Linked DNA regions of Saccharomyces cerevisiae S288C. Changing the gene in region 1 together with any one later gene gives a genetic interaction. Each region holds a gene or a part of one and is shown in the gene's direction. Other genes may lie near its edges. The genes, in order: RFS1 and KIN2.

Region 1 (15,970 bases):
CGCTATAATATTGTGAATACAAAAGACACTAGAATTACTCCACGCGAAGAATTCACAAAGAGAGTTGCTATTTCGACATTATAGCATTATTATTCTCCTTTCATTGTAGAAGTTGTCATCCAGCTTCCATTACATCCGTTGACTTTTTTTCAATCTTTATGTCATTCTCTTACACCTTATATGATAATATACTAGTAATATGAAAACTCGTCAATATTAGTATTTGAATTTCATTAGAACACAAAAGTGTATATCACCTTGATATTCCACTCACGAGCTACAGGTAGTAGATTGTTTAATGACTTGCTCAACAAAATAGCGTGAATTATCACTAAGTAAACAACGGCTCTTCTCACACCCTGAAAAACAAGTACTCGAGAGTCTGTGTTACTTGCCTCGCAATTGTTACCTAAGATGGACAATTACCGATGGATGACTTCATCATCTGTCACAGCCATCGCTTTTTGCGCTGCCATATAATACATGTTAACCGTACGCAACTCGGTGAACATAACCGTGGGGTTACTTTTGTTTGAGTAGTTAGATGTAGTGTCTTTCTTGATGGTATAAGCTACTATAATATTAGGAACGGCCGATACCTGGCGACAAAAGTTCAAAATACCCAACGGGCAGCTGGGCTTATGGAACAACGCAAAAACAATTTTCGGTCATTATATCAAAGTTTATGGCTATGAAACAACAATATGTGTGGCTGCATGTTTAGCCAATGACGCCTTTTTTATAACCCTGCCAAATCCCAACTTCAAGGCAGCTTAATACCTCCAATACATCTTTTGGGAGGTTGATTCAAACATTCACAGCAGAGTAGCTTATACGCTTATCAACTCATCTTTCCTCTGATTAAAAAGAGACTCTGGCTTGCTTTGTAATATTATTTATTTTGGCTCAAAGTTTTTACTTAATTTCCTCCATTATTGCTCTATTCGGAAATTTTTAATAACTCTCAAATGCTTAAAGATCGCCCATGTTACTTGAGTTTTTAATTTAAATAGTTCACCTTACTTGAATGTTCTATTGGGTAAAATAGAATGATTTGAAGATGGCAAATACTAAAAATATCATAGCGCTTCATCTTGATTACCATTATTCCGGTGCTTTTATGATATTGCGTATCAACTTCATTTAAAGAAAAACCTCATTTCAGCTGAAAGTAAAAGTATTGAGTACTCTACTGGCAGTAGCTGGATAATTGAAAACTTACGAAGTGCCGCCACAACAGCTTTTTTTTTATTTTCGACAGTAAACCAAAAGAATAGAAACGCCTATAGTTAGTATATATGTGTTTGTATATTTCTTAATACTTATTAAACTCATCTAACCCACGTTGGTAGCCTTGATCCCATTCCCACATAAATTCGCTATCTTTTTTGGCAGAAACGTATTCAGCTCTTCTTTGCGACTTCCATGAATGCCATCTACCAATTAATGAATTGTCAAATTTCCTAAAGGCAATTATATCATCAACAGCTGTCTTTATGCCATCCTCAAACCTCCAGTGTTCAAAATTTTTACCTTTACCGTTCCAATAAGCCTCGTGTTCATGGATTATTGAATCTATTTTCTTCTTGTCGACTTGTAAGTCATCACCGTGAGGACGTTTTGGTAAATTTCCTTTCTGCATCATGGGAGCTAAGCCCCATTCACCTCCATCACCGTATTCAAACTGCAAAGTCCAAAAAAACCAACCCCAACTAGCTACATGAGAAAATACATCTGCTTGGGTTTGTACGTATTTTTGAACAATAGCGTCTCTGTCGCCAGAAGTTTTATTCCAAGTTTGTCCATCAAGAACACCAGAAAATTCACCAACAGTATAATCGGCATCTTCATGAGGAAAATTCACAGTATTTGGCAAATCCTTGATAATGGAATTGGCATCCTTCGACTTATCAGAATCAGAAAAACAGCGGTAGACATGAGAATCAATGACCACTATTTCACTAAAATGTTTTTCTTTAACCCAGTCTGCCCATTGTTGGGGCCACCAACCATCGGATATTATGACAGGTAAACCTGGTTGAAGTTTTTCAACGGTATTAATGGCTTCTGAATAATAGAATTTTTGGCCCTTTGGGTTATTATCAAAACATGCCTCATTAACCACTTGAATACCAATGATGTTTTCGTTGCCCAGAGTCATTGTGTTAATAATTGCAGGTAAAATATCTTTGTAGACTTTGGTCATGTACTTTTCCTTGTGGAAAAACGCAGCTTCACCACTCTTCGAGCCACTGTGTGAGTCGCAATTAGCGCCTCCTGGTAGACCATGCAAATCTATCAATACACCAATGCTCATTTTCTTGGCATTATTGATTAATTCGCCAAGTTTTTCCCAAGGTTTGGCTAACTCATAAACTTTTCTCAATGGGGCAAATGGAAGCGAATCTAAATGCTTCCCATCTTCGACATGCCAATATCCAATTGGAATACGTAACGCTGTAATATGGGCATCTTTAGATAGCCATTCCCAGTCAATTCGATCAATGTACTTTTTATAGTGATCGCTTAACATTTTCGCAACGTCTTCAGAAGAATGCTTCTTCAATTGTTGGGAAATAGCATCAAATTCGCTATCATATTCTTTCCCATCGATTGTACAAATGGTTTCTTTAGAAAAAATCCATGGTTCGAGCACAAATAACGCACCCAAGTTTACACCATAATTGTAACGGTACTTGTAGATAGTTGATCTATCAAGGTCCTTTGCAGGGGGTAGTTTCGGTAGTGTTGTAGATAAATTTTGACCTCCCTTTTCAGAAACTTTGAAATGCTCAAATTTGTTTCTAAGTGAGCCAATCATTCTGTGCAGTTCAAAAGTTTTAATAAATTTTATAGATGGATAGAGAGTCTTTTTTAAAGCAACTCTTCCCAACAGAGTTCGAATTGAAGAAAAGAAAGTTATGTCTTAGTTCATCCATCCCCCCTAATTCCCTTCTTTTAAGCATTTTTTAAGCCATGATGGCAGAGAAAATGTATATTAAAAAAATATTACTGAAGGATGCGAGGTTCGAACTCGCGCGGACAACCGTCCAACAGATCTTAAGTCTGCCGCCTTAGACCACTCGGCCAACCCTCCGTATAAATGAATAGTTATTTTCAATAACCACACTTATATTAATTGTATTAATTGCAGCACTCTTTCTTTAGTAGCTCCTCCGGAGACCTTTATGAAATGATGGCGTTTCTTCTTTTAATAAATAATGTAACGAAAGTATTTTTAAAAGTCTTCTTTACCGTTGATAGAACCTTGGGCTAATTTAACCAGTACATTTATAGTGTGTCAGATTGTTCTATTAAGCAAAAAAAAACGAAAAATTTCAGAAAATATACGGGTGAGTTGACATAAAGAGTTTAACAGCAAGAAAACGTCACATTTTATGGAGAGGCCATCTTTTTTGGATCAAGAACCACCTGCAGGTTACGTACCAGGTATTGGTCGTGGAGCCACTGGATTTTCAACAAAAGAAAAGCAAGTGGTTAGTAATGATGACAAAGGAAGAAGAATACCGAAAAGGTACCGTGAAAATTTGAACAACCATCTTCAAAGCCAACCGAAAGATGATGAAGATGATGAAGCTGCAAATGTATTCAAAACGCTTGAATTGAAATTAGCACAAAAGAAAAAGAAAAGAGCTAATGAAAAGGATGATGACAATTCAGTTGATTCTTCAAACGTGAAACGGCAATTTGCCGATTTGAAAGAATCATTAGCTGCTGTAACGGAGAGTGAGTGGATGGATATTCCGGATGCCACAGATTTTACAAGAAGAAACAAGAGAAATAGAATTCAAGAGCAATTAAACAGAAAAACTTATGCTGCACCGGATTCGCTAATACCTGGGAATGTTGATTTAAATAAATTAACGGAAGAACGAGAAAAATTATTGCAATCTCAAATAGATGAGAATCTTGCACAATTAACGAAGAATGCAAGTAACCCTATACAGGTTAATAAACCGAACGCTGCTACCGATGCCCTAAGTTACTTAAAGGACTTAGAAAACGATAGAGTAAATTCTCTCTCAGACGCAACGTTAGAAGATTTACAGAAAATGCGCACAATTTTAAAGTCATACAGAAAGGCCGATCCAACAAATCCACAGGGTTGGATAGCTTCTGCCAGATTAGAAGAAAAGGCAAGAAAATTTTCAGTAGCAAAAAAAATAATAGAAAATGGTTGCCAAGAGTGCCCTCGAAGCTCCGATATTTGGCTAGAAAACATTAGACTACACGAATCTGATGTTCACTACTGTAAAACATTAGTGGCAACGGCAATAAATTTTAATCCAACGTCTCCGCTTCTTTGGTTCAAAGCTATTGATTTGGAAAGCACAACGGTTAACAAATATAGAGTAGTGAGAAAAGCACTGCAAGAGATTCCTCGAGATGAGGGCCTATGGAAGCTAGCTGTCAGTTTTGAAGCTGACAAAGCGCAAGTTATAAAAATGTTAGAGAAAGCCACACAATTTATTCCACAAAGTATGGATCTCTTGACTGCATATACTAATTTGCAAAGCTATCATAATGCTAAAATGACTTTGAATTCCTTCAGAAAAATCCTTCCGCAAGAACCGGAAATTTGGATTATCTCTACACTCTTGGAAGAACGAAATAACCCAGATATACCTGTAGATAAACTAGTTAGTTTGCTCAAGGAGGGTTTATTGGAACTCTCTAAAAATGGGTACAAAGCGACCTTGTCAGCATGGTTGAAACGTGCAGAGGCTCTAAATGATGCGCCCAATTCAAATTTAACCTGTCAAGCCATCGTTTACGCTATATTAGAATGGTTAAGAGAAAGTGGCGAGTATGAGTCTGAGTTGAATAATGTTGATCAGATATTAGAAAAAATGCCACACTCAAAGGTACAAATTGCTGTCTTAAAAAAGCTTATTCAGTGGGATCCTTGTGATACAGTTCTTTGGTCTAGACTGAAAATGGCCACTGAAAGCTACCATAAAATTGAAGAGTTATTAGCATTTTTCCAGGAGCTGCTATTTCAGACCAAGAATAGTGATGATATACGAGCAAATATGAGGGAGAAAAGCCCTGGCTTGTTAATGATGTATGTAAGCGAATATTGGAAGGCCCAAAAAGGGGATACTAGGCAAACACTAGTTTTGATTGACCAGATTATAGATTTCGCCCCGCATAATTTGGATTTACGCTTTTTCAAGATAAAGTTATTAGGTCGTTCACTACAACTTGATGAATTACGAGATTTTTTTCAGCAAACTTTCTCCTCTTTAGAGGATTTTAAGATCAGTGGCACGGAAAGATTATATTATAAATACGTAAACTTTCTGCGGTACCAAGATCTGAATGAAGAGGCTATAAAATTCTTGAATGAGAGATGTTTGAAATCATTTCCCATCTGCCACAAATTTTTTTTACAGCTGGGTCAAATTTATCATTCCATGGGCAATATTGAAATGAGTAGAGAAACCTATTTGTCTGGTACAAGGTTAGTGCCCAATTGCCCTTTATTATGGGTTTCCCTATCAAAGATTGACGAGATTGATCTAAAAAATCCAGTAAGGGCAAGATCAATTTTAGATAGAGGATTGTTAAAAAATCCTGACGATGTATTATTTTACATTGCTAAAATCCAAATGGAAATAAGACTTGGTAACTTAGATCAGGCGGAGTTACTCGTCACACAGGCATTGCAAAAGTTTCCAAGCAATGCTTTACTTTGGGTGGAGCAAATCAAGCTGTTTAAGCATGGAAACAAAAGTTCGTTAAAAAAAACAATTTTTCAAGATGCTTTAAGAAGGACACAAAACGATCATCGCGTTCTTTTGGAGATTGGAGTATCCTTTTATGCAGAAGCGCAATATGAAACATCATTAAAATGGTTAGAAAGAGCTCTGAAAAAGTGCTCGCGTTACGGAGATACATGGGTTTGGCTATTTAGGACATATGCAAGGTTAGGCAAGGATACTGTTGATCTCTACAATATGTTCGATCAATGTGAGCCTACTTACGGACCCGAATGGATAGCCGCCTCCAAGAACGTAAAAATGCAATACTGCACACCTAGAGAGATTTTATTGCGCTTGATGAATGACAAATAAAGTAATTCTATCTTGCGTTGTTTTCTACTTAGCCTGCGCGTATATTTATATGTATGTATGTATGTATACACATAATTGATAGAAGCGATGCTCAAAAAAAAAGTTAAAGAAAAGAATTAGATTTAATTAAGATTATAAGTAGTGCTTCATAGGTATTAAGACAACAAATGGTCTTTCTTACAAACGTAAAAATTTGAAGCAAAATGATGTATGTGTTTAAGGAATTTATTCGTATTTTTTTAATGAAAAAAAAATTTAAAAACAGTGCATATTTATTTGTGGCCTTTGGTCGCTACAATCCAATCCCATCTTCTTTCATGTATTAACACTTCATCGTTGCGCGTTATAATGCAGAAGATAAAAAAAGGATCGAAGTGTTTCTTTTCCAGCGAAGTTTCGGTCTCAAATAATAATACGTCAGGAAAAAGAAGGAAAAAAACATTGCTACATCAGCAGATCAAAGCATTTACTCAGAGTCGGTGGCTACATCCTCCTCCTCTTCTTGGGCTTTCTTGGCCTTCTTGGCCTTCTTAGCCTTCTTAGCCTTCTTCTTGTCCTTCTTGTGCTTCTTCTTTAGCTTTAACTTCTCCTTGATACTAGAGTCAGAATCAGATGACTTGAAAGAAGCTGGAGATGGCATCTTCTTTTCAGCAACTGGACCAACATGTTCAGCGGGTTCTTCGTCGAAGATTAAACCTAATCTTTCAATCCCCAAATAGTTAGCCAATGGCATGAAAAGAACTGGCAAGATAGATAGGATCAACAAATCAATAATACCATAGAAAATGGTAGCAGAATCTGGTTGCAAAACGTTACCACCATCTGTGATACCAAAACAGGTTGGGTAAGCAATCAGCCACAAAAACATGATGACACTCATGAAAGTAATGAAAACGTTAGAGACATCCTTACCTCTGGCCTTGACCAGGTTGAATGTAGTTGTCATCAAACTAATACAAACAACAATGGCAGCACCAATACCAATGGTGTAGTAACCCCATTTGTAAGTAGAGTGGACACAGGCAGCAATCAACCAGCAGACAGTAAATATTTCAGTCATACCAACATTGAAAGCAATTTGCCATAATGGAGTACCACCAAGTAGAGACATTTGAATAATTGGCCATGGGAAAGCCAAAAACCAGCCAACGTATCTAGCGTAAAAAATTTGTCTGTAACCTGGGTGCTCCTTTTGGGTAGAAGTTTGTACATGGTTGTACTTTGCTCTGACTGGGATCCAACCCAAGTTAGAAGCCATGGTGAAATAAGCAATTGACATGAACAAATTTGGAGCAATGGCCGTATAATATACGAATCTGTCCTTAACTGGTTTTCTAAACATTAGTGGGACTAAAATCACACCGAATAGTAGGTTAACACAAAAAACGGTGAAAAGCCAGTCTGAACCACGAGATGTAATGTGGAAATCAGCACCGGTTGGTGGATTAATTTTGATGGCTTCGTTACCACCTCTTTTCAATAGTTCAACATAATCAGACATTTTGATGCTTTTTTTAAAAAATAGTGTCACTTTAAGTTATCAGGAAAATTAGAAGATTTTTAAAATTAAATATTAATAATTAAAGAATTAGTGGTTAAACGTTATTAGATTGTTTGGAATTAAAAGAAAAAAATTCTAGATTGATTAAAAATAACCAGAATAAGCTATTAGTTTTGAGTAAAAAAGGGTTTTTAGAAAAAAAATTATGGTAAGTTCTTAGGACTTCTTGTCTATGTTAAAGTATCCAAAGATAAATAGATAGTTTTTTTCGGGTTGGAATATTACTGTTATTTGCTGACACAATCTTGACACTTGATTATATAATCGTAAATGAGAAAAGGTTAATAACAAATATCGAAGAAAACAAGAGAAGAAAAGGGCGGAAAACCATAACTAACACACTGTCTTACATGTAAACCGAATAAGTTCGGTTCTTTATATATCTTTTCGGTAAGCTTCCAGTAATTGAAAGGATCATGAATAAGCAACAACCCGATGAGGAATCATCCCGATCTAACATTGAAATTTTCTAGGGGTTTTACTAACTAATCTGATTGGAAAGCACAATTATCCAGTGAACTACTAAGATGACGAAATTATTCGTTTACACAGAAATAGTGAAAGGCATTTTTGCTTTTACAAGAGGCTATTTTTTTTTTTCTTCATGCTTCTTAAAGGGATTCATGCATTGGACCGGAGAAAAGTCCGCAGAACGACCACTCGAGGGTAAGAAAAAAACAGCTCAGATTTCCTATTTGAGGCAAATTATGCGGAAATTGAAGAATCGAAAATCACGGAAGTGGTACCAAAATCGGTAGGTTGTTTTCAATTTACCCTTTTTTTCCATTCCCTCATTTAGAACCCATAGCGAGGTCGAAATATCCCTTAGCCATTGGTGTGATGTCTATAGTTATTTCCCTCAGTCAACCCAAAGCAAGATTTACATTGTGTTAACGTATGCCGTGATATGAACAAACACACCGGCCTACATAGCTAAGTTAATCAAAGAAGGTGTAGATAAACTAGGTTACATAACTGCCTATTGGCAAGCTTTCTTGCTATCTTAACAGCAAAGCTCTTAAGTCGTGATCTTCTCTTCTGATTCTCTTCCGATGGCATATAGATTTGAAGACGACAAGGAAAGCTAAGCAACTTCCTAGTTTTCGTCTAAAAAAACCGAAGGTTTTTCCGGTGATTTTCGGAAACATGCAGAAGAGTCCTTAGAAATCTTAGGTAAATTCACTCGGCATGTCTGCTAAAGATCGGTCTAGGCCATGCGCGTAAAACGGGAAAGGGTTCGCTCAATGGCAGATGCTGCCATACGAGGACACAACCAAGATGAGGCCTCCCAAAGCGGTACTCGCGTTAAGAAAGAAGGGCTTTGGAGGCAACCGGGTAGGGTGTCTTCTTTGTAAAGTTTGTCTAATGTTGGAGAATGGTTGCCACCCGGGGAAGAAAACTGCTCAGGGCGGATAACAGGAAAATAACATGTTGCGTGCACTTGTTTCCGTTGAAGGGAGATGGAAAGACTACTTAAAACAAAGTAAAGAAAAACATCTCAAAAATATTGAGAGAAAATGTGGTCCAGGAACCAAAGATGGTATACTATTTTGCTTTAGTTTATTTTTGCCTTCTTGTTTAATTATTACTCAATTGGTATATGTAATTGAGTAAATATACAAATTGTAGCTTGTGTTTTTGTTTTTCACAAATGACATCGGTATGTATTTTTCAACATATCTTCGCCATTTCTGTGAGCTATTCCGAACACCGCTTGAAACGATTTGTATTTTGCACAATCGTCATCGAAGTTCAAAAGTCAATTGCTTTTCCTAATAGAGTTAAAAGTCGGTCTACGAAAGTAAAATGTATACTCAGTAAGAGCGGTCTTTGTCTACAGTTCTCCAAAGTGGTAGTTATATCGGGAATGGGTAAATGCATTACACAACAACAAGGAGTTCTAAAAGAGTAACTGTGAACGCCAAAGGAAAAGATATAAAAAAAGTATGTCCCTTTTTAATACCTTTTTCGTTAAGCCGCTACAGCTACCTCTTGACTAACTGAGAAGCTGAATGGATAAGGAACAAAATCGTACGTAAATTTTCTCATCCATTTTACTTGGTCAACAGATTCTATAATTGTAAAGCTGTAGCTTGCACTTGATTTTGTTCCTAGAAATGCATTCAAAATTATTTAATGGTCGCCAAGAACAGCTAGGTGAAAGTTTACCCGGTCGGGCTTTAAGGGGAAGCCAATGCTTATTCAAAGCATATGGACATATATGAAGATGTCCTGTAAGATTCTTAGATTAAGTTTATATGCATTGAGCAACTAGACACTTTTCGTAAAATGAGTAGTGTTGGCGATTTTGAAGAAATTATTTTGCATGATTTAAAACCTTATTATCACGTTCCCGGTGCCATACATAGTGAAGGAATAACCTTCGTTAAGGAAACCGGTACACTGTTGTGGGTTGATATTTTTAAAGGAGAGGTTCATAAAGTCGAAGACATAGAACAGCCTGAATCCAGTCATTCTTTTTTTTCCATTAGTAGAGCCAATTATGGCAAGAATGCGTCAATTGAGTACCCTCCCAATCCAGATGAATTAAAAGAATCCGTGGGCTGTATATTTCCAATACTTGATGGGGCTTCACAAAATGAAATCAAACAAGTATTATTTGGTAGTAAATTTGGCATAGGAAAATTGGATTTTAGCAAAAGTGAATGGGAATATGTCATTTTGTATTCCGAATGTCCTGAATTGAGTACAGACAGAGCATATAAGTTGAGATCTAATGATGGGAACGTTTCGCCAGATGGAAAATATATTTATGTGGGGCTAATGAGCGATTTTCCATTTGATTTGGAACCTATTGGGTGTTTGCTTCGTGTTGACCTATTAGCTCACAAGATAGAGCTTGTTTGGAATTGCTTGTTAATTCCTAACGCGATCCACTGGGATGAAAGTGATCAAAAGACGATGTACGTGACTGATTCTTTAAACTTCACTATTTGGAAATGTCCTGGTGGCGACTTGCTAAAACGTGACGAGTTAATTGACGTGAAGAACTCCAACAATCAATCTTTTGAGTCTCCTGAACCAGATGGAAGTGCAATTTGGTTTAGCAAAGACGGAAAACATTCTGGGTTTCTGTTTATCACTGTCTGGTCCACCAGTAAGGTTCAAATGTTCGATTTAACTAACGGAAAATTGCTGAAGGAGTTCATTTTGCCGGAGCAGACACCAAGAGTTTCATGTTGTTGTTTTGTTGGTAAAGATCTCTTCGTGACCACTGCCAATGCAGAAATCAACGATGCTGTAAGAACCAATACTGACAAGAATGGTGGCTGCATCTACAAAATTCCAAACGTGCTAGACGGAAATGTTCCTCTGGAATCTACAAAGCGACAACCTCTCCACTAGGTGTATATACATATGTTTATATATATGCAGCATACGTATCCAGCGCATGTAACTAGCGTCATATGACACCGCTTATGGGCAAATTGAAGCGAAGCTCCCAAACTTGTCCTTATACATCGAATAATAGCCGTTCCATTTTGGTTGCCTAGTTATAAGGAGGGAACACCTAAGGGGCGGACAATCAAAAATACATAAAAGAGCGGAAAAGAAAAGAAATAAAAAGAAACCACATTTTATATCACACTTTTCTCGAGAAACATCGAACATCAAGACCTCCAGCATACTACTCACTATTATAAGCACATACTACGCCACATAGATAATGCCGAAAGTCGCTATTTTGATTTATTCAGTGGACGATATAATTGCCACATTAGCAGAAAATGAAAAAAAAGGTATAGAGATAGCTGGTGGTGAGGCTGAGATTTTCCAAGTGCCAGACGTCAGCTATAAAACTGAATATGCGACAGAAGAGGGAAAAGAGGCAGCCAAAGTCGCCAAAACTAATGCAGATTTTTCCTATAAAATCCTAACAAGAGAAACGTTGGTTGAGTACGATTACTACTTATTCGGAATACCTACTAAGTTTGGAAACTTCCCCGCGGAGTGGAAAAGCTTTTGGGACTCGAATACTGGTGGGCTTTGGGCAAAGGGTTCTCTCCATGGCAAAATTGCCGGTTTGTTTGTTTCAGGCGCAATAAGCGGCAAGGGTGATACAGAAATGTGTATCATGAACGCAATGAGTACTCTGGTCCATCATGGTGTCATTTATGTCCCATTGGGGTATAAGAACGCATACAAGGAATTGACCGACGTTGAAGATGTGAACGGGTCTTGCGCCTGGGGCGCAGGATGTGTTTCTGGAATCGACGGTGGCAGACCTCCCAGTTTATCCGAGCTAAGAGTTCACCAACTTCAAGGGAAGGCCTTTTACGACCGTATCAAAGATTTGTAAAACCGTATATATCTTTACATAAGTACGATATGGTATAACTGTAACATTGAAGGACTGAAGGACTGAAGGACTGAAGGACTATAGTCAAGGGCCAATGGGGAAGGTCCCTTCCAGGCCATTTGCCCGATAGTTTGTCCTTCTCTTGCTTTTCCGACGGCCCGATTGCATGTGGCGGGGCAGCACTGGATAAAAAAACGTGGGGGGAGTGATTAAATTTATACGCTTATTGTGTCAACACGGAAACCTTATAGTTATCATTACTAACATCGCAACAAGCTGCTTTTTTACTCGTTTTTAGCCACACCATACCCCCTTTAATTAACTAATAATGCATAAAATAGTTATTGCTTCTTGAGTTGCAGCTTCTTCCTGGACGTACTGTTATATATGGCATGTCTTCGCATGTCCGTCAAATTTAGCGTTGTCTCGAAACTTAGGCTGTCGTTCTTGCTGTCTGTCTTCTGATAAAATAATATATTGGAATAAGAAAAAAAAAATAGGAACAAGAAAGTGTGTGAGAATGACTTTGAGTAATTGCGACTCTTTGGATAACTTATTCCAGGACCCTCCAGAGGAAGAAGAAAGTAGTAAATTCGTTGAGGCGGTCAGAACTTTGATGAATAGAAACGATATGGGATATCCTCCCGCCGCTGCAAATGGTACGTATTGCTTAAAAAAAATCAAGTCTTTGAATGCCAAACAGTGGAAAATAAACAAGAAAAGAATGTGCATGTTGCCAGCAGTAAAGAAGAAAAATTTCGACTTTCACGAGCAAAGAAGTTTAATCTTGAATTTAAATTTATGGAAATTCATCAAGTTTATCAATTGTAGTAGTAAAAACAATTACAATAAAAATAATAAGCATGTGAGAAGCTCGAACAACACTGTAAAAAATGAAAATGTTTTACCGTTACAAAAACACAAGAAAGTGGACAATGATCAAAGATTGGAGAACCTTTTTTGGAGAAGCTGGTTTAAGGCACGCAAAAGGAGAGATATAATGGGCAAGCCACGAGAGAGGCATATCAAATTTAACGATAACGTTGAACAGTGTATTATAACTGATGAGCATTTCATACAAAGGCTTCCTTCTACACGGTTGAATTCGACTGATGAACAGCGCCCTTGTTCAAAGTCTGAACTAGATCCCTGTATTGGCAACGCAGCAAGTAAGCGAAGTTTCTATGATTATAACAGCGTTTACGTCGCGAGTGACGCAATTATTACGACTGCCGCTGCCACTGCCATTATCAGTAGTAATAGTGGAGACTATCAGCGTGGGCACGATGTTCGCGATGTTCCAAGAAATGTTTTGTTACAGGCAGGAGAAACAGATTTCAGTAGTGTGCTTCGGGTTGACTCCGATCTCAAGTTATCCAACATAAGTCATCATTCCCCCGTAAAACCTTCGTCAACTTCAAGTCATTCGACCTTCATTTTCGAGTCGGAAACTGACACTGATACTGATACTGACGCTGAAACAGAAAATGACATTGACGCTTACATAGACACCAGTATACCCAACCTGCTCCTATAAATTTTACGTAAACTTTCAATACATTGAAATTGTGTCTCATTTTCTTCTAGAAGCTCCTCGGAAAAATTGATCACGTGATATATAGCAACAACTTTGTTACCCGTCTTTCAAATTGGGCCCATGCCGGGTGGCAAACCAAAGGCGGCCAAGGGACCTACCCTCACAAAGGACAACGACAAACAAATGGCAGCTTTCTTGACCACACAAGATAAAACAACAAAACTCAGGCTGTTATTACCCTGCTGTGGACCCAACCTAAAGTAAATAAATAAACATCATCACAAGCAAGGTTATCTACACACTATCGTTATTAGTTTGAACTCACGTGTTGCTGCTGAATTAGAATATTTATAGCTCAATCAATATGCCTTCAGGTCATAACGATAAAAACGCAAATCAAGAGTCTGTGGAAGAGGCTGTTTTGAAATATGTCGGTGTAGGTCTAGATCACCAGAACCATGACCCTCAATTGCATACGAAGGATCTGGAAAACAAACACTCGAAAAAGCAGAATATTGTGGAAAGTAGTAGTGATGTTGATGTTAATAACAATGATGACAGTAATAGAAACGAGGATAATAATGATGATTCTGAAAATATTAGCGCATTGAATGCGAACGAATCATCTTCGAATGTGGATCATGCCAACTCCAATGAACAACATAACGCAGTTATGGATTGGTATTTAAGGCAAACAGCGCATAATCAACAAGACGACGAAGATGACGAAAACAATAATAACACTGACAACGGCAATGACAGTAATAATCACTTTTCTCAATCTGACATAGTCGTGGATGACGACGACGACAAGAATAAGAAAGATGCGGGTGTTGGTGTGGACGATGATCATCAATCTATGGCGATGGCCGCCGTCGCTGCTGCTTACACTCTATCGAAAAATAACAATAATAATAACAGTATTGCGAACGATAGCAATTCGCGTAAAAGACAGCATGATAACGGAAATAATCATGAGAATTCACAGAAAAAGCGGAAAAACAATAATGATGACGATGACAGACAAATTGGAAACGTAGATCCGGAATTAACCACCTTGGGTGATGCAGATGACAACGATACTAATAATGATGTGATTGATCGTGATCAACTGGTCCATAAGGCCATTATCGACGCTGATTCGATTACCCAACATCCTGATTTCCAGCAATACTTGAATACTGCGGCTGATACTGACGATAACGAAAAATTAAAGCATATTAAAGATCATTTGATGCGTACACACGGTTTGAATCATCAGAACAAGAATCACAATGATGATACAGATGATTTATCAAATAGTACAAAGCAATACTCTGAACTGCAGAAAGACTCTATGCTGGATAGTTCCCTCAACAAATCTAGAAATTATATGGAAGTCTTGCCCAAAGTTATCTCTCAAGATACTCAACCACACCAACAAAAATCTCCCTCTCATGATAATGAAGCTGGCAGCGTGGACAATTCAGAAATATCTCAACTACTTCAATCAGCCGCCACAAAGGCATCATCTTTGGTATCTTTATCCTCATCCTCAGCAACGCCATCGACTTCAAGGTCTAACAATAGCAAAGCTTTTGATAAAGCCGAAGACGCCGCTTTAGAAAGATTTATTAACGAGTATGAGGCCATTGAACGTTTGACTAGACAACAAGTTTGTGAAAGGATATGGAGTTCCGACAGGCCAAAGGACAACTTTTGGAATAATATTTACAAAGTCTTACCCTATAGATCTAGCTCCTCTATCTACAAACACATGAGAAGAAAATATCACATTTTTGAACAACGTGGTAAATGGACCGCGGAGGAGGAACAAGAGCTAGCTAAATTATGTGCAGAAAAAGAAGGTCAATGGGCAGAAATAGGTAAAACTTTAGGCAGAATGCCAGAAGATTGTAGGGATCGTTGGAGAAACTACGTAAAATGTGGTACCAATAGAGCATCAAATAGATGGTCCGTTGAAGAAGAAGAGCTTCTGAAAAAGGTTATCAGCGATATGTTGGAAGAAGCCCAGCAACAACAGTCTCAATTGCATCCAAACTTATTGGAAGAAGAACAGCATTTACTGCAAGATGACCAGAATGATCATCGCAATAACGATGAAGACGATGATGATACAGCTTCTGCAGCAGCAGCTGCTGCTGCTGCTATTCAAGAACAACAACAACTTCTTCAACAAAAGCAGCAAGATGATGACGATGCTATTGCCGCTGCTGCCGCTGCTGCTTCTTCATCCCTGGGAGACAACAAAGACGAAGACAAACCCCACGATTCATTAGGTATACAGCTCGATGATAATTCCCAGAACTCAATGGTACCTGCTCCATCAGCAACAAGCACACATTCTAAAAGTTTGTCAAATACAATCAGACGTCACAATAATAAACTGAGGAAATCTTTGATGGGTAACGGTAAGTTAGATTTCAAAGACATCATTAACTGGACCATTGTCA
Region 2 (16,673 bases), on another chromosome or scaffold:
GTACCTCAAGGCGAAGAAAATCCTGAAAAATATAGCGTTTATACCGCTTCAGGAACAAATCTACCTTTCTTCCATATCGATATCCCAGATTTTGCTAAATGGGATATCTAGCCAATGCATTTACAATGGACATGCAAACATTTATATCATCTCTTTTTTTCTATATTCCTAAACCAAAAAGTTTTCCCCCTTAAAAGTATACATTTAATATCATAATGAGATAGACACTGTTTATATAATAAGAAATAATAGGTAGGATGGTGCCATCGTGAGCATATACATACCTATAAATATTTACCTTATTTTTATTTTATTTTTCTCTTCCTCTCAGGAACAAAAGAAATACAACCGTTATTAATGTTATTGTCGTGGGACAGCTCCCCTTTTTTTTTATTTACTTACCACAGATAGAAAAACATGAAAGCAGCACTTACAAATAGTATAATAGTGAAAGTTAATAACGTAATATTTTTGACCTTCTGCCACCACATTATTTCTTTTATATTGACCGCTTTGCGCCTAAATTTATTACTGCTGCTATTTAGTTGGGAAGTTTTATCCACCAATAAAGAAACTCTTTCTTGTCTCTCCAAGAACTTGTCGATGTTATCGTTCATTATCTGGATGACGTCCTTTATTTGGTCTTCGGTGGCATCCCCGATGTCACTTATAGTGTTCTGACCATTCCCATTACTAGATTGGCCATTTCCAGAACTATTTAAAGTTTGGTTACGGTATTCGACCAGCTCTTCATGGAAAGAGTCTAGTATTTGACCTACATGCGAACTTAAAAGTTCGTTTGTAGCGTTGGACTCGTATTCCTGCAGCCCACTTAGTATCCTGATGGGCAAAATCTTGGGCATATCTACTAATGTGAAGCAAACGTACACAGTTTTGGGGTCATGGTCATCCGTGGAGTAGAAACAATCGAATCCGTCGATGAGATTCATTGACATCTTGGTAACTTTGTTCCCCTTGATCGGAACTACTTTGGGTAATACCATATCCATGATCAAATTATGGAAAATGACCGGCGTTATCTGCTCGTTTGCTGAAGTTATTGTACCATAGTTTTCGTTTTTCTGGAACGGCTGGAAACAACTAGATATTGTTTCACCATTTTTTATAACTTCCACATAACTTACTAAGACCATATGCAAAATCAAGCAAAATGGAACGTTAGTCTACTGAATGTAACATAGTAAAATTATGGCATGGGGGGATGAGCATTCGCATAATCCCTTTTTTAAACATTTGTTAATTGTGTAGAAATATTTATACATACCATTAAAGCGTTTCATTTGGTAAAAATATAAAAGTCCAATGCTCTAACAGCTTAATAAATTGTCGCTTTTCACTCTGTTCTTCAAATTTAATAGCTGTTGCTCCAACTTAGTCAAGTGCTAGAAAATTCATAGAGGGGCTTTTTTTCATCATTATTGTGACCTCATTTTTTCTTTCTTCGATCGTTTGAGGCGAATATTACCCGGGCGCTTGGTGGTAATGCGTTGTTTTAAATATTATATATAATGAATGTGGTGGTAGAATATATAGTTTACTATTTTTAGATAATGCAAATGGGTGGGGTGAAGGCGATGAAAAGGTGGGGGGTCTATCAGAGAAACCTGCTGTCACACCAGCCCTTTACGACATATTGAATCTCTCTCGTAGGTGCGGAAGTCTTATTGGTGACTTTGCCTAAATTTAGTTTTCCGCATGGTTTGAGCATTGTGCCGCCATTGTTGAACCATGGCTTGACGTCTGAGTGTACGCGGACCAAAGAACTTTTCAAATCCGCCGTTGCATGTTCGCTTGCGGATTCACGGCCTTGCGAAGGTTCCGTATTGCTTGTCGTTGCAACAAAGTGCAAATTCCAGGGGGTAGAATCGCCAAAAAGATCATTTCTTGTTTCATGGACCATGTCAGACCATAATTTTTTCCTAGTAATTAGGGCAAGCTTAATATCGTTCGTAGAGACATTTGGCTCCTTTTTGATTTCCAAAGACCGAATTTCGGAATACGTTAGCTGCTTCAACAGATGGTCATCTACTTCGACTTCGGGTAAAATACTCTTCCTTTTACATGATGTTTCAATAGAGTATAACTTTAGGAAATTGGTATTCAAACTTTTTTGTCTTATTCTTTTATTGGGCAAGAGCTCGCTAGATGCAATCGAACCGTCGGTCTCGGGCGATGGTGATGCAGATGGCCATTGTTCTAATTCTACCAGGTCATTTTCGTAAATCATGTTTTCTGTAGTCGATTTGCTCCTACTCTTCCTTCTTGAAGTCTTGCCGCCTTTCTTGTCGATGATTTGGAAGTCCACAGAGGTCGGACGAAGTTTGGCATCGGACGACGCAGAAACCAGTGAAAGGGCAGAGGACGATCGCGGACGCCGTTCGTATACGGGAGGAAAGATATCGACTAAATCCTTAACCTCCCAGTCGTCGAACAAATCGAGATCATTTATGTTTATTATTTTCATTTTGGGCACGACCGGCTCAGCCAGTACCTCATCGCCAATCGCGGGGGTCTGCAAATCGACAGCGTCAGCAATATCATCTGTCAAGGGATGAAGTTTAGAGGAGCTCAATGAAGAACAGTCGCTTTGAGCTTCCTCGGAGAACTTCCTCTTTATGCTCTGTGTTAAGTGGCCCTCATGTATGGGGCATTCGCCCGATAACGTCTTGGCGGAATTTGTTTTCCTAACTTGCGACATGACCGAGCTTAAGGACGGGGTCATCAAAGATGAGCGATTTTCGTTCAGCAGTTCGGAATCGTCTCGAGCCTTCAGTATTCTAGTCCTCTTGAAGCTATTCCTCTTGGTTAGTGTTCTAGTACGTTCAGCGCTTCCTTGACCATCGAACTGCGGCTTAGTGGAGTGGAAATAAATCTCATCGCTCACCGTCCTATTACTTGTGGCGGTCTTGTTCATGCTGGCGCTGGCTAACTTGTTATTCTTCTTATTAGTAGCGGTAGCGTAAAATGACTTGGGATAAAATACCTTTGATGAGTCGCTCCATGAGTGCAATGCGCCATCATCACGTATGCTTTTGATGAGGCAATGTTCATGCACATGAGCATCGTGCATTAGTGTGTGATTTGTGTTCACGTCCAGCAGCATTCTATAATTATGTCTTGTTGAAAGTGTTCTGTATGTTCGTGTCTATCCAAAGAAACAAGTAATTGAGAAAACTAGCCATCAAATACTTGTGAAGAAGCGAGTTTCCATTCTCTGTTTCACTCGTTTGGCGTTCTCACCATCCCACTTTTATTTCATTGGCTTTTTTAACACAATAAGGCGCCTTCAGCACCTTTGCCGCGCATTAAGGATGGCCACTGACGAAAAACCGGATAAAAAAAGACGAAAAAATGCCGTCTGACCCTAGTCAGGAGCCGCCTCATACACCCTAATTATTTTGGCGCTAAGCCCTAAGCATCATTATTACCCGACATGAAGCGACAGAAGCCCTACGGATGTGCGGCTGGAAAAGAAAGTTTCATGAAGAACCAGTTGATATATATTTTACTATATACTTTTGCTGTGTATTTCTATATGAGGCTAGTTGGTTGGTGGGAACTGGAAGTGAAAGTTCTGTTCTTTAGGGTGCAGCGGTTGCTGTTGCTGTTGCTGTTGCTGTTGCTGCTGTGGTTGGATTGATGCTTGTGATGTTTGTGGTGCCTGTGGTGCTTGTGGTACAGTTTTGCTGCCAGTTTGCTGCGAGTATGTAATTATGGGGTGAGCGGCATTTACATTAGGTGCTGGATTGATGGCTGGATTTGTTTTTTCGTAAGCGGCGATACTAGGCGTTGTGCTACTTGACATGTTTGCAAATGCATTATTAAACACTGGAGGTGAGACAGACTCGGTTAGTTCCCTTTTCTTTGCAAGCTCTTCGAGCCTTTTCTTTTCTTCCTTCATTTTTTTTCTTCTTTCACGGTCTTCCTGTTGTTTTCTTTGTTTGGCCCTTATTATTTTCAATTCAGGCACAAAAATGTTGCGCAGCTCAAGTTCCAAGTCCCTGATGCACCAAGCGCAGATAAAAGTGGAGCATTCAGACAGCGGTTTGCGTTTATCAGTAGGTCTTGAAGACTTGGTGCTGGGTTCAAGTGTGGATTGGGGTCTGCGAGAAGACCTTCTATTGCCGTGCGAATTTCCCATTATGATGACGCCAAAATCACGTTGCGACAGCGTGTGCTGTGGGGATTTTGTGGTTGAAGATATAAGCTCTATAATTTTTGGAGGTTGGCATTCCCAATGCTGCCACCTGTAACAATGATCACAGCATATCAATGGGCGGTTATTGAAGAGGTCAGTCTCCGTGTCTTCGGTGATAATCATGGGCGCCAGCTCTGGTTCGCCCGGACATTGGAAAACAGAATCTTGGTTGTCGGGCTCTTGCTGCGGAGTAAAGATCCCGTAGTTGGCAAGCTCATCTAGCTCTTCCTTTGTTATGCAGAAGTCACTAGGCAATTCAGGGACGTCTCCCGTCTGTAGTGGCCCAACAGTTCCAGGAATTGGTGGTTCCACCGGGATTATACTAGATTGAAAGTTAGGGCCGTGATCAAGAACTCCGATATCGATTTCATTTAAGGGATTGTCCTCCTCCCTGCCCAAAGACGTTTCAAAAAACGGTGTACCAGAACCACTTCTATCTTTGAGCTCGTTACGCCTGGTCAATTTTTCATCTCTATAATCTTGATCGTACAATTGCCACAATTGGTTCCAAAGAAGATCTTTTATCTTTTTGATTTCCTTCGACACTAGCTTGTTTCTGTGCCTTATAAATTGTTCTCTTTCATCTAGTTTTTCAAACCACTCACTTTCCAAGTCTTTTTTCTTGTTTTCTTCCTCTTTCGCTACCAGTCTCGAAGATCTTTTCCTCCTTGTCATTAGCTCCGCAATTGCTCTCTCCTTTTCTCTGTTGGCCAAAAGTTTTGCCGAATATAGTCTATGTTCGGCATACACCGGTATTAAGTTAGTTATGAACTCATCTATGGCTTTCGAACTTTTATTCTCTGACCAGTATTCTAGCATGGACCCCCAATTAGTTGTAATCACATCATAATCAATTGTAATCGATTGAAGATATGCATCGATATCGTGAGAGTACTCGAGATGAATAAGCTCCACTGAATCAGGAATGTCTGGGTCGCTTTCTTTTATAGTACAGTTCTGTAGTTTTATTGGGATATTCAGAGTTTGAGAGACTTGGGAGGAAGAGCCTTCTTTTACTCTGTGAATGGTTTTCTTTACGAGTACACCAACATTGGGTAAGGCAAACAAGCTCTTCATTTCCTCCCCTCCACTATTATCATCATCCAGTATAACTTCACTAAACGTAAACAGATGCAAGTTATTCGCTAAGTAGTTTTTGAAGATCATATTTTTCATTTCAATTAATTTTATGATACTGTAAATGATGTCGAATTGGCGTGCAATTTCAAGCTCCAAAAAAGGTAAGTCCGTAACCAAATCTGAATACGCGCTCGAGTTTTGCAAGTGATGGTTAACTATAACATTCCAATCTTTCAATTGCCCGCTTTTATTTCCCGCTAATTGATGCAATAATTGCAATCTAATTCTGTCGTACAAATTTTGCGATCCTTCATCTACGTCGACTTCATCATTGTAATAGTTCGAGTCCTTCCCGTCTATCTTCGAAAATACGTCAGTTACAAATACACCTTCATCGAATTTGATATTCTTCCACAAGCATTTGGTAGAGCTACCGCCATACTGGTCAGTATTAAATGTCGTTGTAGTATATGATTCGCAGACATTGGAAAGCCAAGCCATCACATACTGGAAGTGCCAGTGATTGGCCAAGTCCGCGATCTTCTCATCTAATATTTCAGAATACGGCAGCTGGTGCTTGTTCAATTGGGCTATTATGTCTTCGGAGACATATTCTTTCCAGTCTTCACTATCCGCATTCGCAGCGCCGGCAGGCATGCTCGCTCCTACATTTCTTGTACCCCTAGTTCTCTTCGTTCTCATCGATCGCTGATTCACCGCTTTGTATCTATATATGATTAGCCAGTGTGTATGAGTAAAATAGAGCAATTGATCTAGTTTCTTAGTCGTGTCACTATTGAATAAATAAATGTTAATGTTGCTGGAAAGGAAGAATTATGTCACTTTTGACGCTCTCGCATTCCGTGTGCGGTGATAGCGGTAACTTGGTCTAGCAACGAAAATTTAAAAAGGTTGGAAAAGGAAAAGAAGAGCTCAAGTGGACCTAGAAGTCCTGCTTTGCCACCGTTTAAGCAAGGAATAGAGCACGCCGTTGACACAAATTCACAGTCAAGGACGGGCCACGAGAACTTTATTACAAAATATACTGCATTACACGAAATTCAGCGGAACTCTGAGCGCGAACAGCATTAGGTACCGAGAAACGCTTTTCAAAAGAAATTTCTAAAAGTTTTATTGTGCCATTAATATCGCGGCTCAATTGTTAAGTATTTCACTATGCCTAATCCGAATACAGCAGATTACTTGGTGAATCCAAATTTCAGGACCAGTAAGGGCGGATCTTTATCGCCGACGCCAGAAGCTTTCAACGACACGCGAGTTGCTGCACCAGCCACTCTTCGCATGATGGGCAAGCAATCTGGACCAAGAAATGACCAGCAACAAGCACCACTGATGCCTCCTGCAGATATCAAACAGGGCAAGGAACAGGCAGCTCAGAGACAAAATGATGCATCGAGGCCTAATGGCGCCGTGGAATTAAGGCAATTTCATAGAAGATCTTTGGGAGATTGGGAGTTCCTTGAAACGGTTGGCGCAGGCTCTATGGGTAAAGTTAAATTGGTCAAGCATCGTCAAACAAAGGAAATTTGTGTAATAAAGATTGTTAATAGGGCTTCCAAGGCTTATCTCCATAAACAGCACTCTTTACCTTCCCCAAAGAATGAGAGTGAGATATTAGAAAGACAAAAGCGGTTAGAAAAAGAAATTGCGAGGGATAAAAGGACTGTTAGGGAAGCCTCTTTGGGCCAAATCCTTTACCATCCTCATATCTGTCGTTTATTTGAAATGTGCACTATGTCAAACCATTTTTATATGCTTTTTGAATACGTTTCCGGTGGACAGCTGTTAGATTATATTATTCAGCATGGCTCATTAAAGGAACACCATGCGAGGAAATTTGCCAGAGGTATAGCTAGTGCGCTGCAATACTTACATGCCAATAATATTGTTCATCGAGATCTGAAAATTGAGAATATAATGATATCTAGTTCAGGTGAAATTAAGATCATTGATTTTGGTCTTTCCAACATTTTTGATTATAGGAAACAATTACATACGTTTTGTGGTTCCTTGTACTTTGCAGCACCAGAACTATTAAAAGCGCAGCCATACACAGGACCTGAGGTAGATATTTGGTCGTTTGGTATTGTTCTTTATGTCTTGGTCTGCGGTAAAGTACCATTTGATGATGAGAACTCAAGCATTTTACATGAAAAAATAAAAAAAGGTAAAGTAGACTATCCTTCACACTTATCCATTGAAGTTATATCTTTATTAACCAGGATGATTGTTGTCGACCCATTAAGAAGAGCAACATTAAAGAATGTCGTTGAGCATCCATGGATGAACAGAGGATACGATTTTAAGGCTCCATCATATGTTCCTAATCGTGTTCCATTAACCCCTGAAATGATAGATAGCCAAGTTCTGAAGGAAATGTATCGCCTAGAATTTATTGACGATATTGAAGATACAAGAAGATCATTGATCCGATTAGTAACTGAAAAGGAATACATCCAACTTTCCCAAGAATACTGGGACAAATTATCCAACGCCAAGGGGTTGAGTTCAAGTTTAAATAATAACTACCTAAATTCAACGGCACAACAAACCTTAATACAAAATCATATTACAAGTAATCCATCGCAAAGTGGTTATAATGAACCAGATAGTAATTTTGAAGATCCTACTTTAGCATATCATCCATTACTATCAATATATCACTTGGTTTCAGAAATGGTTGCACGGAAATTAGCGAAGTTGCAAAGAAGGCAAGCATTGGCCCTGCAAGCGCAAGCTCAGCAAAGGCAACAACAGCAACAAGTAGCACTTGGCACTAAGGTCGCCTTAAATAATAACTCCCCGGATATTATGACCAAAATGAGGAGCCCTCAGAAAGAAGTAGTACCTAATCCTGGTATTTTTCAAGTGCCGGCAATTGGAACATCGGGAACCTCAAACAACACTAATACCTCAAACAAACCTCCACTGCATGTAATGGTTCCTCCTAAACTAACAATACCGGAACAAGCGCATACTTCTCCAACATCTAGGAAGAGTTCCGACATTCATACGGAATTAAATGGTGTTTTGAAATCAACACCAGTCCCCGTGTCTGGCGAATATCAGCAACGTTCTGCTTCACCCGTAGTAGGTGAACATCAGGAAAAGAATACAATAGGCGGCATATTCAGAAGAATATCACAAAGTGGACAATCTCAGCATCCCACACGGCAACAGGAACCTCTTCCAGAAAGAGAACCTCCAACATATATGTCAAAATCAAATGAAATTTCCATCAAAGTACCGAAAAGCCATAGTCGTACTATATCAGATTATATTCCTAGCGCTAGAAGATATCCATCTTACGTGCCAAATTCTGTTGATGTAAAACAGAAACCCGCTAAAAACACTACCATAGCACCTCCTATAAGGTCAGTATCACAAAAGCAAAACAGTGATCTTCCAGCTTTACCTCAGAACGCCGAACTAATTGTTCAAAAACAACGGCAAAAACTATTACAGGAAAATCTCGACAAATTACAAATTAATGATAATGATAACAACAATGTGAACGCTGTAGTCGATGGTATCAATAATGATAATAGTGACCATTATCTCTCCGTTCCGAAGGGTCGTAAGTTACATCCTAGTGCAAGGGCTAAATCGGTGGGGCATGCTCGTCGTGAATCTTTGAAATTTACTAGGCCGCCTATACCAGCAGCCCTTCCGCCATCAGATATGACAAACGATAACGGCTTTTTGGGAGAGGCAAACAAGGAGAGATACAATCCTGTTAGCAGTAACTTTTCGACCGTTCCTGAAGATTCTACCACATACAGTAACGATACTAACAATAGACTGACTTCGGTGTATTCTCAGGAGCTTACTGAGAAGCAAATTTTGGAGGAAGCTTCAAAGGCACCCCCCGGGTCTATGCCATCAATTGATTATCCAAAGTCAATGTTTTTGAAGGGTTTTTTCTCTGTACAAACAACCTCCTCTAAACCATTGCCTATTGTTCGTCACAATATCATATCTGTTTTAACAAGAATGAATATTGATTTCAAAGAAGTGAAAGGCGGGTTCATATGTGTCCAACAAAGGCCATCTATTGAGACTGCAGCTGTCCCTGTTATAACCACTACTGGCGTGGGTTTGGATTCCGGAAAGGCGATGGATCTGCAAAATAGTTTAGACAGTCAATTATCATCCAGTTACCATAGTACAGCGTCCTCAGCATCAAGAAATAGTTCGATAAAACGCCAAGGTTCTTATAAGAGGGGCCAGAATAATATACCACTAACACCTTTAGCGACCAATACACATCAAAGAAATTCATCTATCCCAATGTCTCCAAACTACGGAAACCAAAGTAATGGTACATCAGGGGAACTATCTTCCATGTCATTAGATTATGTTCAACAACAGGATGATATTTTAACAACATCAAGAGCCCAAAATATAAATAACGTAAATGGTCAAACAGAGCAAACCAATACTTCTGGTATAAAAGAAAGGCCTCCTATTAAATTTGAGATTCACATTGTAAAGGTTCGTATCGTCGGCCTAGCAGGTGTACATTTCAAAAAGGTTTCTGGTAATACGTGGCTATATAAAGAATTGGCATCGTATATTTTAAAAGAATTAAACCTATAGATACGTTGTTCTTACTAAATATTTCAACGTGTGTCTTTCAATTTTTATTATCTAATATTTATCTTTTTTTAATATTATAGTATAATTTATTTAAGCTGAGATCTGCTTTCTTTAATCTTTCATATGATGAAATAATAGTTCTACATAAATCTATAAGAATAATAAATAAAGTAAAACAACTGCAAAAAACATCGATGTCATCCAGGATCCTTGAAAGATTTCACTCTGGAGAAGAAAAAAGATTTCTCATTTCTCAACGAACAGTTAGATGCATTCCCTTCCTTATCCACTACAATTGAACTTAGCCATTTCAACCGTTGATATCTCTTATTGCCTTGATTCTTGATTTGGAATTCTTCGATAAACGTATACTTTTCATCTGACCTTGTTATCTTTAAATGACCAAAATCATAATCAAATCCGAGGCTCCAATAACACATATGACTATGCCTGGGTTTGTTCTCTTTGGAGAAGTGCTTCACGACAGCGCTAGGTTCATCTGTAGAAAGTAATCTCAAACATTGGCCGTTCTCATAAAATCTGAAATACCTGTAATAGGTGATCATGTGAACTGGCTTTAAAAGAGATAACGAACTTTCTGCATTGGAACCGTATCTTACATAATTTACTACACTGATGTAAACACCTTCGAATTTAATATATGGCCTTTCCCTTAACATACGATAATCATCACCCCGCCATATTTCCTTTTCAAAGGTATTTATATCGGTGATTCCGTTAAGATCCATTGCCATTTTGTCGTATATTTGCTTAGAATATATGTACTTCGCGAAAGTTTTAAATGGCACAGAATCGTGGAAGCAAAGCTTGCTAAAGGTGGAACAAGTCATCGACAAATTCACCCAAGATTCACCAGACATTAATATAACTTTTTTAATAATTCTCAGTAAAATGTCGTCAGGCAAGATTTCCAGAATCCAGCAGGGTTGAAGTTCAGCATTTTCTTCAACAGATAAGTCATCTTTACCGGTTTCATTTTGTTCATCTGGAGCATCAGTAGTCATTGATAATCCCGATAGTTTTTTGTGCAGCATCCACTCATCAAGTATTTTTTTTCTGTACAGTGATTCCACATTATCATGGATTTTCAATGCACTTCGATAGAAGTTTATAGCATCTGACATTGACCCATCCTTCTCTTTCAGTACACCTTTTTCCCAAATAGCAATAGCCTCTTTAGCCCTAGGGTCCTTTTCATAATCTACTATCATTTGCTCCTTGAGTTTAGCTTATGGAACACATGTGTCGTCGCCAAAGATGATGGGGAATGTTTGCTTTTATCTTGCTCAGTCGATTTCGCTATCTAGGAACTACAATCCTTTTTTTTGTCATTTGGAAGGCTCTTTAAAATTCCGAATCGATAAGTTCGGAGGTGGGAAAGGATAGCGGTATATTCCTTCCCAAATAAAAAGGCTACAAACACATTACATAAAGAATATTTGTTCAAGTAAACATATCCTCTTCACTCAAGATTACTTCGACAAACCATCATTGGTGTTTCCACCAATCAGCATATCAATCTCATTCAATAAAGTAAAGTCAAAATTGTACTCTAAGGCAAAATCGTTACCGTGAGATAGAGTCCCTAATAAATCCATAGTTTCTGAATTATGCAAAGCATCTTCAGAGTTTTCTATGAATTTTCTAGCAAGTTCGTAATTCAGGGTAGGCGCACTTAAAAAATTTAAGAAGTCTTGTTTTCTATCCTTTTTAATCAAGTTGGACTTCATGCATTGGATGGCTAAAATCGCAGAATAAATCATGTAAATTGTGGCCTTCTCAAACGTCTTAAATTTATTTTTCCAAACTTTTAAAAGATAATACAGTTCATCAACATAACCTTCAACCAATTCCCGGCTTTGTTTGATTTCGTATATGAAAGGTTTATTATAGGAAATTAGCACGATATAGTAATGAAACCATACGTAAGCTATGGTTGGGTTAAAATCTGTCATTTCCATCAATGACCTCTTGGTCCATTGTAGTTCAGGGGGCAAATCCCTTCTCCAATTGTATACCTCCAGATTAAATTTGGCCAAGTATTCACTCCTTTGAAGTAGAGTTTCGTTTGGGCTGAAAATCTTGGATGCAAAAATCTCCGTTATTCTCGATAACACAATCAGTTTCTTCAAGGGGTTTGCAGTGGACAATATTACTTTTGGGTCATATATGTACTCCTCTATACCAGTCTCAATTTCAGGTAGCTCGTCTGTTTCTGGAACAGTGGAATTGGACAAACGCAAGGAAGTTGATCTTCCAAAGAGGATCGCTATTAAATGATCAGCAATGTAGCAGCCCCAATAAATTCTACTTCTCACTTCAAAATCCATTATTGACAGCTCGTCTTCATAAACATTACTCCATGCTTCTGGATTCAAATGTAGGCCGATTTCGTGGGCAATCCTAAATGCCAGCCCAGAAAGATACCAAGCCATGGGGTTTTCTCCGCTTCCAATGTCATAAAATGCCAAACACAATAGAGTCTGGATGATTGCTAATTTCGAAGAGGACGACGATTCAGCTAACGAAGAATCTTCCAGTTGAAAAATTTTTTTGAGTACTATCGTCTTGGCTCTTTGATAAAACACTTCAGATTGTTGAAAAAGCTCAGTTTCTGATTTGTATGAAATCAAAGATCCCAATGCAGCGATTGCAAATACCAATTCTTCGGAACAATAGTAACTTTTAGTGTTAGTATCACCGAAGAAAGCACTTAAGAAAGTTTCTCTATGAATGAAAAGGTAATGTCCCGGGTATAGCCATTTGAAAAAGAGTGACAACGATCTTAAGATAAGGGGACTTCTTGATAAATTTTTTAGGCTGACCTGCTGTTGCTGATATCTTGTGCTTCCATCCGTCTTCTTTTTTATTATAGACAAGGAATTTGATGGATATATACTATTTGTGCCAACTGGTGGAGGGCTCTCGGAAGGCATTTTCTTGGTGAACGCATCAGACTCATTCTCATCGTTGCTTTCAGATGATGGTAGTGCTGATTGTGCTGTTTCGCCATACTTTAAGATTTTTTCATTAGGAGCATCACCATGATCACTGTTGTTTTTTAACGAGGAGAGAGCATTGCTAGCAATTGTGGAAGACGAGGAACTTAATATTTGCAACTGTTCTTTCAAAGACCGAATCTGGCTCTGTAAAGCTTCTACGTAAGTCGTAGAATATCTTTTGTTCCTTAAGTCTTGTTGAGTGAATACACATTCGGTACGAAACTTGATACAGTTTGAACAAGGCTTTTCCATGTTACATTTCCTTCTTCTTCTACGGCAATTCTGGCATGCTAGTTTTCTCTTCCTGGGCACGTTGTTATTATTCTGGTCATTATCTGTCACAGATTTCTTTAAACTGGACGGAAGGGAGGGTGTTACCGTTGTTGTTAAAGGTGGAGGTGAAGGCTCCAACATCATTGCTGCGATTGTGTAGAGCTTCGAGTTTTAAAAGGGCTATTTTTGAAAACTTACGGCGATGTCAACTTGTTGATTTTGCTTTGTTTCGTTCGGGATGGATCGGAACATCCGCTCACATATGAGAGGTTTACACTCTTGATGTATATGTTGCTCTATCTTGTATACGGTTAAGTAAAGTGATGTATTATGTATATGTATGTATTTATATATATATATATATATATGCGTGGTTTTCCATATTGTATTTTTCTTCTCTACTCTATATAGGCATTACTTTGACAGGAACGAGACTAAAGAAGAGGCAAAGTGCTGCGGGTTGTCCAGGAAAAGATTATGGCCAGCATCAGGGACTTCAACGTAGCTAGCCTTTGCCTTGTTTTTTAGCATTGATTCAGTAGTCAAGTAGCCCGCATATTTATCCATCCAATCGTGCTCGCCATACATGAACATGACAGGCGTTGCTGGGTTCAAAAAACGAACGTTGTTTATTATCGGATCTCTAGCGATCAGATTCCTTTCAAACAAATGGGTGAACACCTTGATTGTCTGTGGTTGCACCGTCTGGTTCTTCCCGACAAATGAGTGCAAAAGATAGTCCTTATATATCTGATCCGGAACTTTTACGTATGCGGTGGAGATGTAGTTCGAGCACAATTTGGAGCCTATGGGTCCCATCCACTTCAAAACGTTTAGCTGGTTTTCAAAGATAAACCGCGGTACGTTCAGCTTTCTTGTATAATATCGGGACGATGGGTCGGTAAACGTAAGTGGATAGGTGGTGTTGGGCTCCCATTTGTGGGTGATAGCATGTATACTGTTTTCCACACCAAGAGGAGATATGAGACACAGTTTCTCAATGGAATCAGGGTACTTGAGGGCGTATTTGAATGAAATATATCCTCCGAATGAATGGCCCACCACGTTTATTTTGCGAAGCTTGTTATCCTTCCGCCATTGCTCTATCCTGTCTACGAAGTAGCTTTCGTACTGCTCCAGGTGTGACTTGATGTCCTCTGCTGGGGGGCGCTTCTCTATCACAGGGATTACTACGTCATCTTCTATATGCTTAAACCTGAGAGACTTGATCTTCTTGGTTTTGTTCACTTGCAATGCTGGCGCCTCTGAGGCACCATTGGCTGGCAAGTCGATGGCATATAGATCTTTAATGTTGTCTGACAGGTTCTCAAACGTCCTGTAGAACGCCATCGACGAGGCAGCGTATCCATGGATTAGTACTGTAGGCGTGCACACTTTGTTCGCACGCTTATTGTGGAAATGCCACTGGTTAATCCCGCCTGGAGTCATCGTGTTATTAACGGACCCACGCACAGTGGTGCTATCCATAATTTGCTGCTGCAGGGCCTTCAGGCCCTGCACGCTAGCACACACCTTGGCGTCTGCAGTAGTGGTCTCCTTCTCAGTTTTGCTGCACCATTTGAAAGTGTTTGTCCACATTCTACTGAAGAAAACTACGCTTACGTATGTATATGTCCTGAACAATGAGAGAAAGACCTGCGAATATACTTCTACTACTCCACGTACAAAAAAGAGCACGCTGCTTTATTTATACTTTTGTGCCACAAGAATGATCAACATCAACATAAATATCAACTAGTATCTGCAACACATCTGCTCCACGGAACTAAACCCGTTGAGCAGTGCCCCGTGGAAACGTAAACTATCGCAAATTGGGATTAACAAGCCAAAAACAGCCAAGCAAGATTCACGAAACCGCGCCTCGTTTGGACCCCGAAGGCCCATTTAACGGCCGGCCGTTACAAGCAAGATCGGCAGAGCAAACCACTCCCCAGCACCACAGCACATCACTGCACGAGCAACAATAACTAGAACATGGCAGATAGCGAGGATACCTCTGTGATCCTGCAGGGCATCGACACAATCAACAGCGTGGAGGGCCTGGAAGAAGATGGTTACCTCAGCGACGAGGACACGTCACTCAGCAACGAGCTCGCAGATGCACAGCGTCAATGGGAAGAGTCGCTGCAACAGTTGAACAAGCTGCTCAACTGGGTCCTGCTGCCCCTGCTGGGCAAGTATATAGGTAGGAGAATGGCCAAGACTCTATGGAGTAGGTTCATTGAACACTTTGTATAAGTGTTTGTTGTTTATGTATCCGCATATAGCAGTTATAACAGATAAATGGCACTTTTCGCACACCCGTTGTTTTATCTCCGATAGTACGTGGGCCTTTATTTATGGTCGTTTAACGAAAGAACGGCATCTTGAATTGAGCAGGTATTTAAAAGATAGGACGAGAAACAAGCACATGATCTGTGTCGAAAAAAAGTAGCAAAGAGAAAAAGTAGGAGGATAGGATGAACAGGAAAGTAGCTATCGTAACGGGTACTAATAGTAATCTTGGTCTGAACATTGTGTTCCGTCTGATTGAAACTGAGGACACCAATGTCAGATTGACCATTGTGGTGACTTCTAGAACGCTTCCTCGAGTGCAGGAGGTGATTAACCAGATTAAAGATTTTTACAACAAATCAGGCCGTGTAGAGGATTTGGAAATAGACTTTGATTATCTGTTGGTGGACTTCACCAACATGGTGAGTGTCTTGAACGCATATTACGACATCAACAAAAAGTACAGGGCGATAAACTACCTTTTCGTGAATGCTGCGCAAGGTATCTTTGACGGTATAGATTGGATCGGAGCGGTCAAGGAGGTTTTCACCAATCCATTGGAGGCAGTGACAAATCCGACATACAAGATACAACTGGTGGGCGTCAAGTCTAAAGATGACATGGGGCTTATTTTCCAGGCCAATGTGTTTGGTCCGTACTACTTTATCAGTAAAATTCTGCCTCAATTGACCAGGGGAAAGGCTTATATTGTTTGGATTTCGAGTATTATGTCCGATCCTAAGTATCTTTCGTTGAACGATATTGAACTACTAAAGACAAATGCCTCTTATGAGGGCTCCAAGCGTTTAGTTGATTTACTGCATTTGGCCACCTACAAAGACTTGAAAAAGCTGGGCATAAATCAGTATGTAGTTCAACCGGGCATATTTACAAGCCATTCCTTCTCCGAATATTTGAATTTTTTCACCTATTTCGGCATGCTATGCTTGTTCTATTTGGCCAGGCTGTTGGGGTCTCCATGGCACAATATTGATGGTTATAAAGCTGCCAATGCCCCAGTATACGTAACTAGATTGGCCAATCCAAACTTTGAGAAACAAGACGTAAAATACGGTTCTGCTACCTCTAGGGATGGTATGCCATATATCAAGACGCAGGAAATAGACCCTACTGGAATGTCTGATGTCTTCGCTTATATACAG

The links.
Region 2: mutations in RFS1 (region 1) and KIN2 together harm fitness more than expected from each alone (negative genetic interaction), as found in Saccharomyces cerevisiae (3 studies listed by BioGRID).

Annotation. Positions count from the first base shown.
Region 1 is NC_001134.8:334,730-350,699, reverse strand, and holds RFS1 (flavodoxin-like fold family protein), read left to right. Parts: upstream 1-11,347; coding exon 11,348-11,980; downstream 11,981-15,970. Other genes in the region: MRX18 (17-beta-hydroxysteroid dehydrogenase-like protein), read right to left, coding at 1,316-2,821; U4/U6-U5 snRNP complex subunit PRP6, read left to right, coding at 3,399-6,098; YRO2 (Yro2p), read right to left, coding at 6,565-7,599; YBR053C (regucalcin), read left to right, coding at 9,949-11,025; protein phosphatase regulator REG2, read left to right, coding at 12,501-13,517; DNA-binding protein REB1, read left to right, coding at 13,882-15,970.
Region 2 is NC_001144.5:326,115-342,787, forward strand, and holds KIN2 (serine/threonine protein kinase KIN2), read left to right. Parts: upstream 1-6,475; coding exon 6,476-9,919; downstream 9,920-16,673. Other genes in the region: SUL2 (sulfate permease), read left to right, coding at 1-111; NYV1 (Nyv1p), read right to left, coding at 399-1,144, 1,286-1,301; GIS3 (Gis3p), read right to left, coding at 1,616-3,124; IOC2 (Ioc2p), read right to left, coding at 3,563-6,001; SCF ubiquitin ligase complex subunit HRT3, read right to left, coding at 10,117-11,151; CHA4 (Cha4p), read right to left, coding at 11,413-13,359; lysophosphatidic acid acyltransferase ICT1, read right to left, coding at 13,630-14,814; MIM2 (Mim2p), read left to right, coding at 15,211-15,474; ERG27 (3-keto-steroid reductase), read left to right, coding at 15,696-16,673.